2 linked regions of the Arabidopsis thaliana genome follow. The protein of the gene in region 1 interacts with the protein of each later gene in a pairwise test. Each region holds a gene or a part of one and is shown on either strand. Other genes may lie near its edges. The genes, in order: RLP53 and AT1G67860.

Evidence for each region.
Region 2: the proteins of RLP53 (region 1) and AT1G67860 interact in a protein complementation assay, tested with the Arabidopsis thaliana proteins (one large-scale study listed by BioGRID).

Annotation. Positions count from the first base shown.
Region 1 is NC_003076.8:9,520,212-9,528,430, reverse strand, and holds RLP53 (receptor like protein 53), read left to right. Parts: upstream 1-2,952; 5' UTR 2,953-3,020; coding exon 3,021-5,897; 3' UTR 5,898-5,901; intron 5,902-6,135; 3' UTR 6,136-6,453; downstream 6,454-8,219. Other genes in the region: AGL53 (AGAMOUS-like 53), read right to left, coding at 1-690; AT5G27065 (uncharacterized protein), read right to left, coding at 3,729-3,764, 3,827-4,102; AGL101 (AGAMOUS-like 101), read right to left, coding at 7,793-8,155.
Region 2 is NC_003070.9:25,442,551-25,448,033, reverse strand, and holds AT1G67860 (uncharacterized protein), read left to right. Parts: upstream 1-2,676; 5' UTR 2,677-2,857; coding exon 2,858-3,094; 3' UTR 3,095-3,282; downstream 3,283-5,483. Other genes in the region: AT1G67865 (uncharacterized protein), read left to right, coding at 1,347-1,574; AT1G67856 (RING/U-box superfamily protein), read right to left, coding at 5,147-5,483; AT1G67855 (uncharacterized protein), read left to right, coding at 5,436-5,483.

The sequences.
Region 1 (8,219 bases):
GTCAAAGCTAGAAACTGAGTCAGGGACTTGATAGAAGCTACGGTTGTCATGGTTATAGAGAAAGACTGAAATTCTGCTCTGATTTTGACTCAATGATGACGTCGATAGGTCTTGCTCTGTGTTTGACACACCACTCATCAATGGTTCTGTCCATTGTTGATGACGATGATCCTCAATTAGCGAAGGAGGAGGAGACAATGGATTCGTTGTGGAAGAAACCGCACGGGTCTGACCAAACTCGGTCTGGTTTTTCTCGGGTTGGAGTAACAGAAGCTTATCTTGTAGTACTCGTAGACCACTTTCTAACGAATCCTCCATCTCTAAGACTTTCTCCGACAATTTAGTGTCGTCGAGGATCTTCTTACGTAGAAACAGAGAAAGGTTGGTTCTTTTCTTGCATCGCTCTCTCTCGTGTAATCTGCTAAACCTCTCAGCCATGTCTCGAACTTTTGATTGATCCTCCGGCCATGTCTTGATGAGTTTTCCGTCACGACCATAGTATATGACACAGACATCGATGTTGCACAGAGTTGAAAGCTCCAAGGCTTTCTTGAACATGGTCTGTTCTCTCATAGACAAATTCGTGGTCTTTTTTGCAGTAGAAGAAGAAGACAGGGACGATTTCTTGAAACAAGTTTGGTTTCTCACAGACAATTTGGTTTTCTTCTTCGTCGACATTGAAGAATCCATTGTTGTTGTTTACCCACAGAAAAAGAAGAAGAAGATACCTAGTTTCTTATCAGAGAGAAACCTAGAAAATAAACTTAGTGTAACTAACACACGGTTCAGGGTTATATAGAATTGTGAAATTCTTGTATTTCCATATAATATTTGATATTGATTTTACTAAACCAAGAGAGACAAATTGAGCTGTGGGTTTTATTTCCTTTTTCTTTAGAGTATCTTTTCTTCGTTAAATGATGATGATTTACTTCTATTAATCTAACCGTTGTGATATTTAAGTAATGAAATTCCCTTTTTGTTTGCTGTCTATGAGATAAATCTTAATTAGATACGATTTTCCTTTACCAATATCAATGTAACCGTTGTAGATACGATCTTAGATACGATTTCCCACATCCAGTATCTTATTATATAAAGTATAGTTTTTAAAGTTACTAACTCATAAGATTGTGGCACGTGTCAAGTCTAATAATGAGAAGTTTATATGTGTCATTAAAGATTTAACTTTTTAATTTTCTTAAAAAAATAGAAAACCTTAAAAAGAAAAATTTACATATATTAATTTCTTATTATATAAAGTACAGTTTTCAAAATTACTACCTCATAAGATTGTGGCACGTGTCAAATCTAACATTGAGATGTTTACATGTGTCATTAAAGATTTAACTTTTTAATTCTCTTAAAAAAATAAAAAACCTTAAAAAGAAAAATTTACATATATTAATTTATATATATCTAACAATATTTAAACTTTATTTTTCTTAACAAAAAAGAAAATTAACAAATTTGAAAACACATATATTATTGGTCAATTAAATAAATAATCATGTATTAATTTAAAAGAAAAATCATTAAGTATGAATAATAACTAATTAAAAAGACCACTTAAGTTTAAAATAACAATATAATTTATTTAAAATTAATTTAATTGGATAAAATTGTGTTTATCATTGTAATATAGTGTTTTCATTTGTTAAATTTTGAACACAAAAATATTTTTAAAATTTAGTGACCTTATTATAATAAATTTTTAAATATTTAAGATTTATTCTAAGAATTTTAACGTATTCGGTGATTGAGCAACTTGGATCCTTTGATATGTCACTAAAAGCTTATAACTATGTTTTATTGTAAAAAATTTAACGCATGTAGTCATAAGTTAAAACACAAGATTTTTGGAGAGAACAACTTATATGATTTACTTTTCAATTACTTAAAAAGAAGTTAGTATATTTTTTAATTAATTTTAACTCATTTAAAATAAGTTTACATAAGAGAAAATTACGCCATATATAAAGAAACATTTTAAAAAGTTTTGCTTTTCAAATATTTTTGTGGATTTTTTTTTTGTTAAGTTTTGTTTACTGTTTATTATTTTTTTAATATCAACAAAGATATATATTAGATCTGATATAAATATATTTTTTTAATAAAAAAAAATTCACTTAAGATGAAGTGTTTAGAATGAAAATCGAGTATATTATGATGAAATAGATACTTAAATTGTATTGCAAAATTGAATGTGTAAGATAGAAATTTGTAGGTTATTATTTAGAATTCAAATATCATCAATAAGCTTGAATGTGTAGAATTAAAATGTATGATAAAAGAGAATGTATAAGCATCAAATTTTGTTAAATAAAAAAATATTAAATTAATTGTCAAAAAAAATATAAATTACTATTTTATTATTCAACATTTGAATACTGTCAATAAAGATTTACATCTAAATCACACACCCGCCTATTTAGGCGGCCTTATTAGTTTTTTATAAAATAGTCCCAAATTTTAGTTTTAAGTAAACACAAAGAGGAATATTTATACTCTTCCGAGTTCGCTGACATATGGTAAAATGGGCCTTCGTTTTCTTTTATCCGCCTTCATTGTTGGGCCCTAGCCCAGTTGTTTTTTTTGCGCAAAATTAATACATCGATGGGGATTGACTCTTGACGCTGTCGATCATCACTATTCACTAGCACTAGTAACAATGAACAAGTCATTGCTTACCTGCAGAATTCATTTTCCACGATCAATTTAATTTGGCTGGACAAAATACAACGTTTTTTTTTCATGTTCCCTGTACGTAACTAAAAAGTAAGACAAAAGGAGTGGAAATGGACATTATTCAACGTAAAGACTTTTTAAGTCGTTGCGTTTAACGTGAAAAACGCCTCGGAGGGTCAAGCTGTGTTGGAATTATCTTTGTGGAATAGAGTCTATTATTTTTGTATATAAAGAGATGGGCATGAAAACATGTTACGTACCATCACAATTTCCAGATTTTATTTTTTTGCTTTTTCACTATCAATATTCAAGAAAATTAAATTAGCTTAAGAATGATGGAAGGCTTTTGGAACTCAAAGAGTATCATTCGTATTACTCTCTCTTTTATTTTCTTATTCATTTGTCATTTTCTGGACGTGCTTGCGGCTCCAACTAGGAACTTGTGTCGTCCCGAACAAAGGGATGCACTCCTCGCGTTCAAAAACGAGTTTGAGATTGGGAAGCCTTCTCCTGATCATTGTAAGATTTATGGCATTGAATCTCCTCGGAAGACGGACTCATGGGGGAATAACAGCGACTGTTGTAATTGGGAGGGAGTCACGTGCAATGCCAAGTCCGGGGAAGTGATCGAGCTAGACCTAAGCTGCAGCTCTCTCCATGGCCGGTTTCATTCCAACAGCAGTATTCGAAACCTTCATTTCCTAACCACTCTAGACCTTTCATTTAATGATTTTAAAGGTCAAATCACGTCATCAATTGAAAATCTTTCTCATCTCACCTATCTCGACCTTTCTTCTAATCATTTTTCGGGTCAGATTCTGAATTCAATCGGAAACCTTTCTCGTCTCACCTATCTCAACCTTTTTGATAATCAATTTTCGGGTCAGGCTCCATCATCAATTTGTAATCTTTCTCATCTCACTTTTCTAGATCTTTCTTATAATCGGTTTTTTGGTCAGTTTCCGTCTTCTATCGGAGGTCTTTCTCATCTCACCACTCTCAGCCTTTTCAGTAACAAATTTTCGGGTCAGATTCCATCTTCAATTGGAAATCTTTCTAATCTCACCACTCTCGACCTTTCTAATAACAATTTTTCGGGTCAGATTCCATCTTTTATTGGAAACCTTTCTCAACTTACCTTTCTCGGCCTCTTTAGTAACAATTTCGTTGGTGAAATCCCATCTTCTTTTGGCAATCTAAACCAGCTGACCCGCTTATATGTTGATGACAATAAGCTCAGCGGAAACTTTCCCAATGTCCTACTGAACTTGACAGGGTTGTCACTTTTATCACTCTCCAACAATAAGTTCACAGGCACGCTTCCTCCTAATATCACTTCACTATCCAACTTGATGGATTTTGATGCAAGTGACAACGCCTTCACCGGAACGTTCCCTTCTTTTCTCTTCACCATTCCTTCTTTGACTTACATTCGTTTGAATGGTAACCAACTCAAAGGCACTCTTGAGTTTGGAAATATATCTTCACCATCTAACCTATATGAGTTAGACATTGGCAACAACAACTTCATAGGACCAATCCCTAGTTCCATTTCCAAATTAGTCAAACTTTTCCGACTTGACATTTCCCATTTAAACACCCAAGGCCCAGTTGACTTTAGTATCTTCTCCCATCTCAAGTCACTCCTAGATCTAAACATATCCCATTTGAACACCACCACTAGGATCGACTTGAACTATTTCTTATCATATTTCAAAAGGCTCCTTTTATTGGATCTCTCAGGCAACCATGTTTCGGCCACAAACAAAAGTTCAGTTTCAGATCCTCCTTCGCAATTGATACAATCTTTGTACTTGTCAGGGTGCGGTATCACTGAATTTCCAGAGTTCGTAAGAACCCAACACGAATTGGGGTTTCTAGACATTTCCAACAACAAAATCAAAGGTCAAGTTCCTGACTGGTTATGGAGGCTACCAATCTTGTACTACGTGAATCTTTCCAACAACACTTTAATCGGTTTCCAAAGACCATCGAAACCTGAACCATCTCTGCTGTACTTGCTTGGCTCCAACAATAACTTCATAGGCAAGATTCCTTCTTTCATATGCGGGTTGCGTTCTCTAAACACACTCGATTTATCTGACAACAACTTTAATGGTTCAATCCCTCGTTGCATGGGACATCTCAAGAGTACTCTTTCAGTTCTAAACCTTCGTCAGAATCATCTTAGCGGAGGTCTTCCAAAGCAAATATTTGAAATACTGAGGTCTCTTGATGTCGGCCATAACCAGCTAGTGGGAAAGCTACCAAGATCTTTGAGTTTTTTCTCTACTCTTGAAGTTTTGAACGTGGAAAGCAACAGAATCAACGACACGTTTCCCTTCTGGTTGAGTTCTCTACCGAAGCTACAAGTTCTTGTATTACGCTCCAATGCATTCCATGGACCAATACATGAAGCCACATTCCCTGAGTTGCGCATCATCGATATATCACATAATCGCTTCAATGGAACTTTGCCAACAGAGTACTTTGTGAAGTGGAGTGCTATGTCATCACTTGGAAAAAACGAAGACCAGTCTAACGAAAAGTACATGGGATCAGGCCTTTACTACCAAGATTCAATGGTTTTGATGAATAAAGGTGTAGCGATGGAGCTGGTACGTATCCTCACAATCTACACAGCAGTCGACTTTTCCGGAAACAGATTTGAAGGAGAGATTCCAAAGTCCATTGGTCTATTGAAAGAGCTTCTCGTGCTCAGCTTGTCAAACAATGCTTTCAGTGGCCACATGCCTTCATCTATGGGGAACCTGACAGCTCTCGAGTCATTGGACGTTTCTAAGAACAAGCTTACAGGAGAGATTCCACAAGAGCTAGGGGACCTTTCGTTCCTTGCGTATATGAACTTCTCTCATAACCAGCTTGCAGGCCTAGTACCAGGAGGCCAGCAATTTCTAACGCAAAATTGCTCTGCCTTTGAAGATAACTTGGGACTTTTCGGCTCTTCTCTTGAAGAAGTTTGCAGAGATATTCACACGCCAGCATCACATCAACAGTTTGAAACGCCGGAAACAGAGGAAGAAGACGAAGATCTGATTAGTTGGATAGCAGCTGCAATAGGATTCGGACCTGGTATTGCCTTTGGTTTGATGTTTGGATACATACTCGTTTCCTATAAACCAGAGTGGTTCATGAACCCTTTTGACCGAAACAATCGTAGACAGAAAAGACACAAAACAACTCACTAGAGAGGTAATGTTCTGACTCTTAAAACGAATTAGTTAGCAAACATTAGAATAAATTACGTGAACAAACTTTTGAATATAGGTCCGTAATTGATACCGAAATTTGTGAAATATCTCTTTGATCTTTCGTTTTCGCACACAGCACCCAGAAGCAATCGAAAATCTGTTTCGGTGATTAAACCGCTGAAATTTTTAAAAATGTAAACAACTCTTATGTTTGGAATTTGGTGCTTTCTTATAGGCACAATCCTAGGGTGTCCAAAGATAACAACAGAGAAGGAGGTATGAGAGAAATGAAGCTCATATACAAAGATCTGCATTTATGGTTTAATTTGTTTTGTCTAAGAACTCTCAAATGTCTAGTTAATACCTTTCATTTTGCTTGTGAATAAGTGAACCATAAGTACATTTGGAGTGATATAAAGCTTTTAGTTTAATGGCAATGTAAGTTTCATGTGATAGTTAAAACCAAACCTTTTTACGGCGAAGAAGTAGAACGATGGAAGTGAGTTCAAAAAAAACAACCATATATACTAGTTTCTGTGGTCATATACAAAATCATGTTATAGAAAACACACACACACAAAGTATAGAAGAAAGAAAAACAACATGTTTCTTATGTTAAACTCTAGGGGTTTGTGCAAGTCACCACCACTATGACGAGTTATTTTAGATTCTGAAAGCTCTCAAGAAGTCTGTGTAGCATTTCAAGGTAGGATAGACAAAACGTCACTTGAAGACATGTAAAGTTGCAAAATTCCGCTAGTAGTTCTGTTTTCATGTTTTGGTAGAGGTACTCTCAATAAGAATCTAAAATATAATGAAAACAACATTTTATATATAACTATGAATTTGGTAATTAAGACATAGACCTCTGCAGACTGCAGTATGCCAAGGGCTAATTAACTCTCGAGAATCCGGTGAAGATTTACGGATCAAAGTTTGCATCAGTAAGCCAACAAGAGCAAAACAATACCAGATTAAGGCAACTACATTAAACTTGGCTAAAGAACTTGTATGCTTATGATTTTACTCTCTATAATATCATCTTCGAAATTCAGATACGTGAGCATATGGGCATCAATCAAAAACCCTGTGCCTTAAATTCAACAATAATGAATAATGAGTGAGAAGTGTACACTTAAAACCTTAACATTATCACTAGCCTTCTGGAATAATTAAGCTACTGTATAGCTTCATAATTGGCATATACAATTTGTTCTATAAGCATGAACTTGACAAAAATTTCAGAAACTGACTAGATATCACACATTAAAACCTGTTGCAGTCTTAAGTACAACAATGTCTAACATATATAAAGACTTATAAGGGGATCACCTTTAAAACAATAACGCTCCACATGACACTAATTAACATCAAGATCCTTAAGTTTACGATTAACCACAGAATCTATCCACCGCGTGACACAAGACTGTTCACTCTCAGTCCTCCGGATACACTAAAGACCTATCAAGAAAACTCACTAAGGCATTGTAATCTGGGAACTCACTGGCATCTAAATCCAACAACTGAACAAAGTCAGTTTTTTTTCCACATCTTGGACAAAACATTAGTATTAAGTATTAACAACAACTTTTGACGGAAGCTGCTACAAGAGCGTCTGACATATCAAAGTGTCAGGTAATATGATTATCATATCCTCTTCTATAAGCTTTCCTCCATTGAGTTCATTCACAAATTGAACCGAAAATTTCACAGAATATCTTGCTCAATTACTCAATTAGTTGTCTTACCTGCATCAATTATGGACATCTAACATTCAATGTCTAATGTATATTCAAACTCAAATTTAAGACTCATAGACAAAAATAGAATTGAGAAAATAGCATTCATAGTTAGGAAAACATACAATTCAACAGAAACTCTTAATCAGACAATTAAACGAACACATAATCTAAACTAGAAACAGAACGAGTCAGGGACTTGGTCTGATTCTCGGGTTGTAGTAACAGAAGCTTATCTTGTAGCACCCGTAGACCCCTTTCTAACGAATCCTTCATCTCTAAGACTTTCCCTGAGAGCTTATTGTCGTCGAGGATCTTCTTACGTAGAAACAGAGAAAGATTGGTTCTTTTCTTCCGTCGCTCTCTCTCGTTTAGTTTGGTAAACCTCTCTGCCATGTCTCGAACCTTGGATTCATCCTCCGGCCATGTCTTGAAGAGTTCTCCGTCACGACCATAATATATGACACAGACTTCGATGTTGCACAGAGTTGAAAGCTCCAAGGCTTTCTTGAACATGGTCTGTTCTCTCATTGGTAAACCTTCTCCATCACTCCTCCTCCTCTCAAATCACAAGCGACGA
Region 2 (5,483 bases), on another chromosome or scaffold:
ATCATTTTACTTATGGTTACCAAAGCTGAAAGTAATCCCTACGGTCACCACAATCACCGTTACTTCTCTTGGAGGTTCTCTTCTTTGCTTCGTCTAAGGATCATTGGTTTGTCTCCAATATTCTAACACAAGTCTTCTTTCCTCATCTTCTTCCTACTTAATCTCGGTATTTTTTAACCCTCACCATTGAATATCCCATGGTCTTTAGACTTCTTGTGTTACTTCCCACTTTTCGCTAACGTGGCCGGCTTACTCATGTCATGCACGTTACGTGGCTATTAGCAAAGAACAAAAAAAAAAAAAAAAAAGTTACACAACGCTTCGTCGAAATCCAAAAATGAATGAAAATTTTAACTCAAACAAATTTAATATAAAATCAAATAAAATCCGTAATAAATAGAACTAGACTAGGTTTAATTTCCAGTTTCATTATTATGCTTCCATTAATACTCAGCCAATTCCGAAATGTTCCCATATGAATAGGACTGATCTTTAATTTAAAAGACGAACGGAATTAGAACAAACATGACTATTCAACTTTCGTGGTAGAAAAGAGAATAAGATTCATATGATCGTACGATGATATTTCGAATAATCTCCAAAGGGAATAACATTTTCTTCTTTTACCTCATAGAAATCTGTTTTTTAAAATAAACTTTACACTGTCATTAACGTTTTTTTTTTAATAATCGGGACTAGGTCTTTGTCGACCGAAGTCCAAACTAATTCCTGAGCCAAGTATTAATATGAGTTTTATTGCCACTGAAAGCGTCGACGAGTGGCTAAGCGGGATAGTTAGATAATTCCACGTTTAAGGAAATTCTTTTCATGGACTAGACCAACAATGAGAATCCGCTATCACTTGGTTAAGAGAGACTCTTCAAACTTTGCAAGCATTAGATGCAATTTCCATCATAACGATTGAAGAGACCATTCCACGAAGGAGATGGGCCTTACACTAAACTTATCCACACATCTTTTCTAATGTTCGTTACTAGTATTGCTGTCAAAACATGCCTTTTTGGACTAAACATTAGTTGATACACATACAACATCTATTTTTGAGGGTCTATAGGGTCTGATTTTTTAAAGAAAACGTGTCCGTAGACAGAAACCTCCTTAGTTTGGATCTTTCCCATGTGATCATTATTAAAAACGACGAACGGAATTAGAACAAACATATCTATTCAACTTTCGGTAGTGATGGTACTAAGAGAATAAGATTCAGATCATAAAAAAGGGAACTATATACAAGAAATTTTTTCTATATATAGAAAACATCTGAAAGATTAAAACACTTATCCATATCAAAGAAAACTAACACAAGTAGATAAATATAAAGAAAAATGCTTGATAAGCTTATTATTGGGGTTGCCGGAGGGATTACCGGAGGGATTCTTGGAACGGTCGATGGGTTTGCCAAAGGGGTCGGGATATGGCCCAATAATTATCAGAGCACCGGTCGCTTCGAGAACAACAATATGACGAGTCCGGGAAACTACGGCAATGGTAATGGCGGTGCAGTGAAGGCATCCGAGAACTCCGGCGGCCGCCGCCAGAAAGACAGGGAGTAAAGGACTCCTGACCACACCCAGTAATGATTATGTATCCAAAATAATAAATGTATACGATGTATGTATAAGATGGACATGTTTCAGTATCTTACCAAAAATATAGGAGACTTTTAATGAAAAGTCTTCTTGTTTAATTTTATGAACTTTATGATTAATAAAAGGAGTGTGTTTAATAAAAGTGATGTATATTAACAGTTATTTCCACACGTGAAAAGATTGAATTTATTTGCACACAATTAAGTTTGAAAAGTAACGTTATGGTGTAACGAAAACCCTAATGAATTTATAAGTTACGTAGTGCAGTAGGATATGTCGTTTTAATGTTTCTGGTTCATCTAAATAATTAGATAATTTATTTTGCATTTATCGACCAAAACTTTAAGCTCATAGATTTGATTCAAACAAGTAATTCATTTACTAAATTAGACGGATCATAGGATTTTTTGTTGATTCGATTAGCCTTTTCAGTTATGCAATGTTCTTGAGGGAAACACAAACACAGATAGCATATTTGGCGACAGCGTCTGCCTTTTGAATTGGAAAGACGAGAAATATAACTAAAGGAGATAGAACGGAAACAACCTTGAAGCTGTCGAATTTCTTGAAGAATTCCATGAATGTCATTGATAGAGTTGTCTACACTTTTATCTCAAAAATCAAACGAACCTTACACAAGCAATGTTTTTTTTTTTTCCAATAATCAGAGTCTTCCTAAATCCAAAGTCTAGACTAATTCTTGAACTTAATACTAATAGAAATGTTTTCTTGCAATTTACAGCGTTATGGAGTCTAAGTTGAATAGTTAGATTATTACACTTTTATAAGGCTTTATTTTCTGGCCTAGAACAACGACCTGAATCTTCAACAAGGGGAAACTTTAAGTCCACTTCCACTTGGAGAGTCTTCAAACTTTGCAAGCATTAGATGCAATTTCCATCATAGCGATTGAAGGACCATTTGAGTGACAAGTAAGACGGGTCGTGTATGTCCATAGTTATCTTGTTTTCCACTTTCTTTCCATCTACTTCACGAATTTTTGTGATCGTTGAATTTTTTAAGACGAACGGAATAAGAACAAACATGTCTATTCAATTTTACGTATGGTGGTGGTAAAAAAAAAAGAATAAGATTCTTATCATATCATGGATATCATATGACGAATAATTGCCATAACAAACAAACTTAAGTGAACACTACGAGAATTGTATAAATATATACAAACATCTGAAAGATTGTAAGCTCTTATTCATATCAAAGAAAAACAACAGAATTAATATATAAAAATGCTTGATACGCTTATTGGAGGGATTGTCGGAGGGATTGCCGGAGCGATTATTGGAACGGTGGATGGGTTCGCCAGAGGGATCGGAATATGCCCCGATAGTTACCAGAGCTGCACTCGTACCGACTGCGAGGAGCACAAAAAGAAGCTCCCGACCAACCTTAGCCGTAACGGCGGTGCAGCAGCAGTGAAGGCTAAGGAGAACGGCCGCCGTCGCCGCCAGAAAGACAGGGAGTAGAGGACTCTAGACTACCCAAATATTCTGACGGTTCAAATAAGAAAGTAACGATTATGTACTCCCCATATAATAAATGTGTAAGATGTATCATGTATTTGTGTGACGGACTTTTAATGAAAATAAATGTTCTTGTTTAAGTTTTTTTTTTTTTTTGTCAGCGTTCTTGTTTAAGTTAATAAATCATTTATCATATTACATAAGAAATATATATTAGATCGGTATATAAATTGACTTTAATATATATTTATCGACAAAATTTGAAATGAATATTTAGGAAGTATATTATATCTCATTGAACTATATATATAGAAAGAGAAAACGAAAAGACTATTTACGAAAATGATTGGATTAAGATATGTTGTTTCACGATGAAGACAAGGGAAAAAAACCCTCAAGTTACATGCTTTAATGTTCATTACATGAATCTACTTGTTAAAATAACATAAGTACAAGTGAGTTAAGGAACAAAGAAAACTAATTACGTTAACTAGAAAAGATGGGTTTGTGCGTAGACTTGTATTGGAATTTTCATGTGGATCACAACTATATAGGTTTTCACAACAACTGGTTATTTAGTTGTCTTCCTCTTATATACACTAAATATATTATCTCTCACATTGCTCAATAAAATTAATATATGTTAAAATTCGAAAACATAACACCAAAAAGTATGTAATATCAGTAATTTTTTTAAAAAAATACAAATAACACTAAAATCATGTATTTATTTTTGTTATATATGTGCAGTTTATAAAATTATTATTATATTATTAGAAACTTAGATTTACATTAAAATTTTCAAAAAATAATTATTTTTCTATCTTATCGAATTGTATTAGTTTTTATATTACTCCTACTCGAAACTAGAAAATATAAATAATTTATAACATTTTTTTTTTATTTGTCCAGTATTAGTTTATAAAAGTTTTACTATATATCATAATCTCTTGAATCCTTCTTATCATATGAAGGAGAATATCTTCGATATTTTTTAGTGGTCCTAGGTCAACATGACGAATCCTCATCAAGGCAAAACCACAAGTTATCTCTCCAAGCAAGATGCAATTTCTATCATAACGATTGAAGAGACCATTCCACAACGGAGATAATTAGCCTTACATTGAACTTATACACACATATTTTCCTACTTTCTTTACTAAAGTTGTAGTCAAAACACGCCATATCATCCATTGTTAAAGGTATCTAGTTCGATCGAATAACCATCAGTGACTCTCGTTTACCGTTTTCTGTTTGTTCATGGGCATATATACCTTTAGCCAACTATCCTCTAAATACAACAATAGACATGTCACATATGCGTCAATATATTTAATGGTCCAATGAACATTGGCCAAACCTGGAATAATCTAAAGGAATAAAAGGTATCGGATTCAACGTAATCCTTAAGACTCCAATACTAAACATGCGTAGATATAATCCCTCTGATGATTAATTTAAATGCGTACTGAGTAATAAGAAGATATCAAACAAGAATTTCAATAGAAACAATGGTGCCTGAGACCTTCCTTCAGCATAAAACTCATCATCATCGTCACCATACCCATCATCATCACATGAATTCGATGGCAGAGAAACCTAATCATCAAGTTATGGAGTACGAAGACTTGAGTCATGACGTGATGAAGACGTCATCACATCATATGAGGAAGGTGAAGAGTGAGAAGAAAGCAAAAGATGAAGATGTTGATAAAGAAGCAGAGAATTTCATCAATCTAAAGCACAGAAAATTTAACAACTGTATTATCTAAGTTTCAGTTAGTAGAGATTCTGTTATATATGCAAAAGATGTAACACTGTTCTTCTAATTGTCACATCTACTTTTATTTTGGTTGTGAATTACAAGAAAACTGGTGTATAATCCAGTTGTTAACATGAACCACATACTATCAGAGCACAGCTATCAAAAGCACATTTATTCGTTATAAAAAACCTTACAAAACCCACAAAGTGGACACAACAGAATCTGAGTTTCCCAAAATAGAAACTAGAAAACATTTAAAAAAAAATTGTGAAAAGCCATAAAAGGAAAGTCTAAAGGATGGATCTGCAGAGAGGACAAGTTGTGTGGTTATTACCAAACCATTTATCCAAACAAGCTGAGTGAAAGTAATGCTTGCAGGACACTAACTCACTCACCTCTTCCTCCTCTTTAAACCCACAAAGACACACACAACAGTCCATAGCTTCTCTCTCGTTCCTGCTTCCTCTGTTCTCACACAGAGATTCAAAGTGTGTGATTGAGATTCTTCTTCTTCTTTTTGAATCCTCATGATCTTGGTCGTCCTCTTTGTTCCTTGCCTCATTGGTCTCAGAGCTCACCATGTTGACAACAGATCTTACCATGTTCTTTACTAGAGACACTGAAACA